2 linked regions of the Neurospora crassa OR74A genome follow. The main gene of each other region encodes a partner of the protein of the gene in region 2 in a complex. Links are inferred from orthologs where the notes say so. Each region holds a gene or a part of one and is shown on either strand. Other genes may lie near its edges. The genes, in order: NCU00464 and NCU00979.

What was found.
Region 1: NCU00979 (region 2) and NCU00464 share a complex: the UniProt entries of both Saccharomyces cerevisiae proteins name them as parts of the large ribosomal subunit. The link is inferred for Neurospora crassa OR74A from reciprocal best matches to the Saccharomyces cerevisiae genes RPP2B and RPL32.

Annotation. Positions count from the first base shown.
Region 1 is NC_026503.1:3,956,599-3,960,040, reverse strand, and holds NCU00464 (60S ribosomal protein L32), read left to right. Parts: upstream 1-1,456; 5' UTR 1,457-1,508; intron 1,509-1,568; coding exon 1,569-1,608; intron 1,609-1,780; coding exon 1,781-1,905; intron 1,906-2,084; coding exon 2,085-2,206; intron 2,207-2,349; coding exon 2,350-2,458; 3' UTR 2,459-2,814; downstream 2,815-3,442. Other genes in the region: NCU00465 (chaperone dnaJ), read left to right, coding at 1-233, 292-384. UniProt on the Saccharomyces cerevisiae protein: Component of the ribosome, a large ribonucleoprotein complex responsible for the synthesis of proteins in the cell.
Region 2 is NC_026501.1:6,512,111-6,515,385, forward strand, and holds NCU00979 (60S acidic ribosomal protein P2), read left to right. Parts: upstream 1-1,433; 5' UTR 1,434-1,586; intron 1,587-1,648; 5' UTR 1,649-1,657; coding exon 1,658-1,816; intron 1,817-1,882; coding exon 1,883-2,009; intron 2,010-2,067; coding exon 2,068-2,114; 3' UTR 2,115-2,537; downstream 2,538-3,275. Other genes in the region: NCU00980 (hypothetical protein), read right to left, coding at 1-668, 728-733; NCU00978 (checkpoint protein kinase), read left to right, coding at 3,164-3,275. UniProt on the Saccharomyces cerevisiae protein: Component of the ribosome, a large ribonucleoprotein complex responsible for the synthesis of proteins in the cell.

The sequences.
Region 1 (3,442 bases), on a different chromosome or scaffold from region 2:
TTCTCCGTCCCGGCGACGTCCTCAAAGTCCCCGGTGAGGGTATGCCCGTCAAGAAAAGTGATATGAAGGGCGACCTGTACCTCGTTGTGAAGATCGAGTTCCCTGAAGATGGTTGGTTGCAGGACGACAGCCAGTATGACGCTTTGGCGAAGCTCCTACCTCCTCCACCCAAGCCAATCGAGGCCGAGGAGATCGATGACGTTGAATACGAATCCGGTGCCGATATCCAAGAGGTATGATGATCTTTCAAATATATAAGGAGAGAAGCTGTGGCTAACATTTGAAACCTAGATGGGCGCTCACCAGGGTGACCCGCGCTACGGCAATGACTGGGAGGATGATGACGAAGACGAGGGTGCTGGTCCTCAGTGCGCTACCCAGTAAGGAAACACACACTCTGGAGGGAGTGCTATATACCTAGAGCATTGGCAAAGTCCTTGTCGCCATCGTCCCTCAACGAGCACAACGCGCCAAGTATCGAACTCGGCGTGGGTGGCTGGGAACGAGTGGGACAGTCCAGGACTTGACAGTCGCCCAGCTGCCACACCGAGAAACGCACGACCAGAGTGGCCGTTTTCTTCAAACCTTTTGCGGTCCATATAGCTTTGTTGCAGGGCGGCGGTCCAGTAGTATGCTTGGGAGCACGGCCTAGCCTGGTTGGATAAGCGAACTACAAGTTCCTATCCGGCAGGCCATTTGCTCACACCATCATAGGACGTGGCAGGTTTGGAGGTTTTTGGTCAACATGCAGCAATGGCCGTTTCTACATATCTTGAGCGACCATTAGTGAGGCAAGCATGCTTTTAGACGTCGAGCAGTATTGCCCATCAAGCAGGCAGAATCAGCCCTATCTTTTAGACTTGACACATAGACTTGTGTGTATACTCAATACCCGGCGATATGATAGCGAATGGATAAAGTTTGGTTGATAGTAAATCGGGGTGAATGTATTTGCGTGTTGTGTCAAACGTTCCCATTATGGTTGCTGAACTGTGAATGTATGATGCGTATCCCCCGAGTGGATCCATATAATCCAATGCCTTTGGTTTTACCTCTAGGAGGTTGAACTCTCATCAAGACAGAGTTCCCGGGTCACGAATGTCGAAGAATGACAGCAACGCAACACATTCCGTATTAATTCAGTAAAATGGTTTATGTATGCCATAAAGACTCCGGATCGAAAGTGCAGTCCATAGAGGTAGTTGGTAATAGGATTGTGGCCGGCAAGGTGCACTGTGTGCAAAGAAAGAGGCAGCTCGTGAGATGGTCTGGGACGGCTGGGCGCTATCTCCAGGTGCGGCTTGACTGCCAAGATTTACAACTGCCACCCAGATGGTGACCCACACCAGTAAAATTCTGGCGAATCACAACTGCGTACTAAGCCTCGCCTTAACAATTTCGCACAGCCCTAAGCCCACCAGCTACACTTTCTCGATTTTTTTCCCCAGGTCCCGCCGTGACGCTGCCCGCCGAAACAGTCCCCCATCACTCGATAACAGACAGTCAAGGTAGGCACCCTCGTTCAATCGTATTCTCAGTAACGAAGCAATTCTAACAGCATATTCAAGATGGTTGCCGCCAAGAAGCACGTCCCTATCGTCAAGAAGCGTACGTTTTTCCTCAATTCCGCGACTCCAGCCGACACGAAAAATGGAAATCCCCTTGCTAGCTCGAGCTCGAGGGCCGACAACTCCATCACCGCCGTTTCCCGACACCAATCGACGAAAGAGCGATGCGAATACCAGTGGAACTAGAATGTTGACGAAATATTGGTGAACAGGCTCTAAGGGCTTCATGCGCCACCAGAGTGATCGCTTTATGCGTGTGGACTCGGCATGGCGCAAGCCCAAGGGTATCGATAACCGCGTCCGCCGTCGCTTCAGGGGCACTCTTGCTATGCCCTCGGTACGTTTGGCCATAATCCGGTGGTGGAAGAAGACGGAGCGAATCTGGACGGGAGCCGCAGGATTGGATTGTCTCAAGCCCCTGGACAGAGACGCTCCGCGGGTGATCGTTGGGAAAACGATTGGGAAGTTCAAATCGGTCAAACGGCTAACCAAACGCGACTTGTTTCGCGCTTCTAGATCGGCTATGGCTCCAACAAGAAGACCCGCCACATGATGCCCTCCGGCCACAAGGCTTTCCTCGTCAGCAACGTCAAGGATGTCGAGCTCCTCCTCATGCACAACAAGACCTACGCTGCTGAGTACGTTACATCGATATCCATTCATTTCCTAGGGACATTAGTCGGATTCGGGATTGTGGAGTCGCTTTCGCGATATTCAATGGACAATGGAGGCAACGAGCAAGGGCGATGCAATGGACTGTCGCTAATATGCTTGACTATAGGATCGCCCACAACGTCTCTTCCCGCAAGCGCATCGAGATCATCGCTCGCGCTAAGCAGCTCTCCGTCAAGGTCACCAACGCCAAGGCGAAGGTTACCACCGAGGTCTAAATCTTCCTGTCTTCATCGTCATAAGGGGGCACTTTTTTCGTCATGTGTGATTCTGGGAGCATCTCAAGGCGGTCTCAACGGGAAATGGGTTCTGCTTTCTTTGGTCAGCGGGTTTTCTGCTAGCAACCAATCCAGGCTAGTGAAAATACAAACGCGGCTTGCTTGTCAAGGCACACACTACGAAGACCAAGCATCTACTACCACTGGACATACACATACAGACAACGGACGGGAACGGCGTTGTGATGAGGAAGGCCAAGACGTTGGCCTCTCATCGTATTGTTGTCTCTGAGATATGGGACAGCACTGCACGGACAGAAGATATGAAATGATACCAGACCAATTTGACGTCAGGCAGATTGCAAGGAGTTGTGTCATTGTGAATGGTATTATGTGAACTGATGTCCGAAAATAGGCTCGTTGCCCGCTTCTCAGAGCTGACTTGGCTTCATTAGCATGGTCAGTCGAAGCTGATGCCGGGGTTGATGGAAGATCAGTGAGAAGTCCCAGCGACCATATCCATCCTTCTTTCAAGACACTTGGCTCTCGCTTCCCAAATAAGGGATGCCCCAGATTCAATTCCAGTCACAAACTCAAAAGAACCCCAGGAGCAAGGCATAGCATTGACCAAATATCGCAACAGAAGACTTTCGGCATACTATAACTAGGTCATCCGAAGGCCGGTGCACAAAGGTCACACAACACACCCGTGATAATCTCTCGCCTTCCGTCACCAAAAGCGGTAGCGGTACCCTGAACGGAACTTCACGCTTAAAGTTAAGTACGCAAGTCTAGGCCCATCACAAGTGACATAAAAAGGTCCCAATTGAGGGTCGAGGTATCCCTGGAGTAGACAGGACGTCGAAGAAAATGACAAAGTTGGTTCTTTAGTGTCCTTGCTCCTTAGTCAGTAAATATAGAAACTCGTTATCTTATTGCCATGACGAGACCAAGTGACCGGAACTCGCTTCAGACTAACTAACG
Region 2 (3,275 bases):
GTACCATTGCGGGTTGGCCCAGCTGTCACACCGCTCCTCCCGGTAGTCGGTGGCCTTACATCCTTCTTGCCCTTTTTCGCTTCCTCGGCCTTTAATTCCTTGCGTTCCTTCAGCGTCAACTGCTTCTCCACCTTCTTGTGCTGAATCTTTCCAACGGATGACAGCATGGGCTGATTGGCCTGGGCCCTTGCCATGATCTCTGCATAGGAGCGTTTCTTCGGAGGTCCAGAGCCGGCGACAGGAGCGCTAGGGGCGGGTCGGCTGACGAGCGGTCGCGAAAGTGGAGCCTTATTCCCATTCGAGCTTGTTCCTCCCACCTTTGACTGCGTCGATGTGGTCTTGGTTGACACCGGAGCTGTTAGTTTCGTGGTCGAACGTGGTTGCGCGGTGCCGGTGTAGCCAGTTGTTTTTTCTGCGGGACGCGTTGGGTTCGCATTTCCTGTGGGGCGCTCCGTCGGTCGGTCGGCGGGGCGCGCTGTAGAAGGTTTCGATACGTTTCCATTCGGCCGGGCACTTCCATTTGTCGCTGGTTCGGTACGCGGGGCCTTTGGCGCAGAACCTCGAAGGTCATCGTCGGCCTTCCGTTTAGATGCTGTTGGGACATCTTTCGTCGAGATCGATGATGACGATGGCTTTTCGCCCGTTATCGATGCGAGCAAATCCGAAATCTGCACACGTGTCAGCCAGCCTTTTAAAGGGCAAGCGCACTAAACGAATGGCAACTTACCGGCATGGCTGTGGTTGTATCGGTGAATAACCTTCTTTTACCAGCTTTGCTTATCCTTCTCCTGCGTTCAAAAGACGGAGAGTTGTCCAGGCATCGAACAAGAGGAGAAGGAAGTAGGTGGCAGGGTTTTATATGCTTCCGTCACAGATCGCCTCAACTGACGATGCAGATGCACAGTGGGACAAGCGCGAATGCTTTGGCAAAAAACACGGCGAAAGAATGGGCGCGAGTATGCGAGGTCGCCAGTCGCCCGATAGTGCCGAAACCAAGAATAGGAATTAGGTTGGAGATGGGTTGTTGGCGAAAGAAGAACAAAGAATCCTGCGTGATCGGGGACTTGGTTTCGCAACTTTTGCTGGGCAGAGACAGAGACGGGAGCCAGGATGGTCAGCGTAGTGAACGACCCACCCAGTCACTTCTGGTCGGAGCGGTGAATCGCGGTCTCCGAGGTCAAAGTCACAGGCCCAGACGGTCCAGACCAGCAGCGTGCCAAGCCGCACGTCACCGAAAAGTTGTGTTTATTGCCAAGAGCGCCCAAGGCGTTATGAATTGGCCAGCTTTTTATGTAATTGCAAGCGGCCGGCAGGCAACGACGGAAGGGAGCTTGGCGGGAAAGAACGCACGGGATCTGCCCTAAGTCGAGTGGATTGGTCAGGTGATTTGAGGCTTGTGGGCTTTCGTGGGGCGCAAAATTGCGGGGCTTCACAGGAACGAAATTGTAAAAATAATCCGTGATCGGGTCCCGTCCGCGAACTTCTTTCCGAAACAGTGAACTTCCACCCCCAAGAACCTAAGAAGAGTCTTTCTCCGCCACAACTCAGCGGTTAAACCTGATTGACATCTCTGGTTCTCCAGCTCAGTAAGTTTTTGGTCCAGCCTTCCACAACCGTAGGATTTCCGTCTAACAACGCGACCTTCAAGACAGACAAAATGAAGCACTTGGCCGCTTACCTCCTCCTCACCCTCGGTGGCAACACCGCCCCCTCTGCCGCTGATGTCAAGGCCGTCCTTGAGTCCGTTGGCATTGAGGCCGACTCCGAGCGCCTTGACAAGCTCATTTCTGAGCTCGAGGGCAAGGACCTCAACGAGGTACGACTATTGTCCGGAGAGCAGACTTGAGTGTCCGGCGCACATGGCTAACACGAGATATTACAGTTGATCGCTGAGGGTTCCTCCAAGCTCGCTTCCGTCCCCTCCGGCGGTGCTGCTGCCCCCGCTGCCGGTGGTGCCGCTGCCGCCGCTGGTGGCGCTGCTGAGGAGAAGAAGGAGGAGAAGGTTGAGGGTAAGGACACATTCAATCGCTTGCGCTGTCGCATTCAGCTGCTAACTGCTGGGTACAGAGAAGGAGGAGTCCGACGAGGATATGGGCTTCGGTCTCTTCGACTAAGCGTCTCCTACCATTGTCCGGTAACATGGCATGGTATTTTCCGAGAAACCTTGACGGATTGTACACGCGGTTCAAAAGTCACCTGCATCACATTCGCCTTGACGGCGGCAGCAGAGCTGGAGTTCTTGGGATTACAAGGGCACGTCTTTCATAAGGGCGTCAAACGGCACATAGGCGGAACAATACAAGTCGCAAGGTTTTCTTCGGACCTTTTTGTCCCTTCGTGATCATACATGTGCGTGCTGCGCTGTTCTGGACATCTGCGCCTGCAGCTAAAATTGCTGAGAATATGTTGCTTGAACATGCATGTTTGTGAGCTCTTCTTCTTTTCCGTTCCTGTTATCGCACTGATATGGCGTCCCATCGACGGCGCCCTGCGAGAACGTTGGTAAACAAATCCCTTGATATTCACTTGACATGCAGCTCCATTGTCGTCTCCATTCATTTATCGATACGCACGGTTGCATGTGGTTCCTTCAAGTCGGGCTTCCCTGTTGTTTTTGTTGTTGTTGCTGTAAACAAAGCTTGGCAAGCTCATCACTGGAGTTTGCGTTTCCCAGAGAAAGGATCCATTTCAGCGGTTGCCGCGAGCAACCATGCAACATCACCCCGTGTTTTGATTGGTCGCAGCTCCACAAGTCAAAATACTCGCTCCTAGCGAAAGCCAACAGTCAGCACGCACCCAGGGCCCCAATACAGAGTGAAACCCCCCATCGTCTCCTCTAGCTTCCGTTCACGACATGCTTCATCCGCGCCGCACCATATGATTTCTCGCTACTCTCGTTATTCTTGGTTCCATGCGCTACTCTGGCACGTAGATTCGCAATCGCCCACGCAGCCCTGTGCTTATTAGGTATTATTTTCTTCAATTTTGGACTACATCTGAAAAGGCGGCAAACCAGGCGCAAAACAAGAGCAGGATCGTCCGTGGCTGCGAAAGACGGGCAAGGTTCCAAGCTCGCAAACAGGACGAAAAGTTAGGTCCACCCAACGCCGAGCCAGCGCATTTGCAACCGCAACCAAAACAACAGGGGCGGTAAACAAAACACATGAACGACATGTCGTCCATTTCGCCAACGCCCATGGGCGGTGGAAGCCACTTTACGTCTATGGGAAGAAGGACATCCGCTAGACAAGCTTTGCGACGTCCCCCATCGCGGC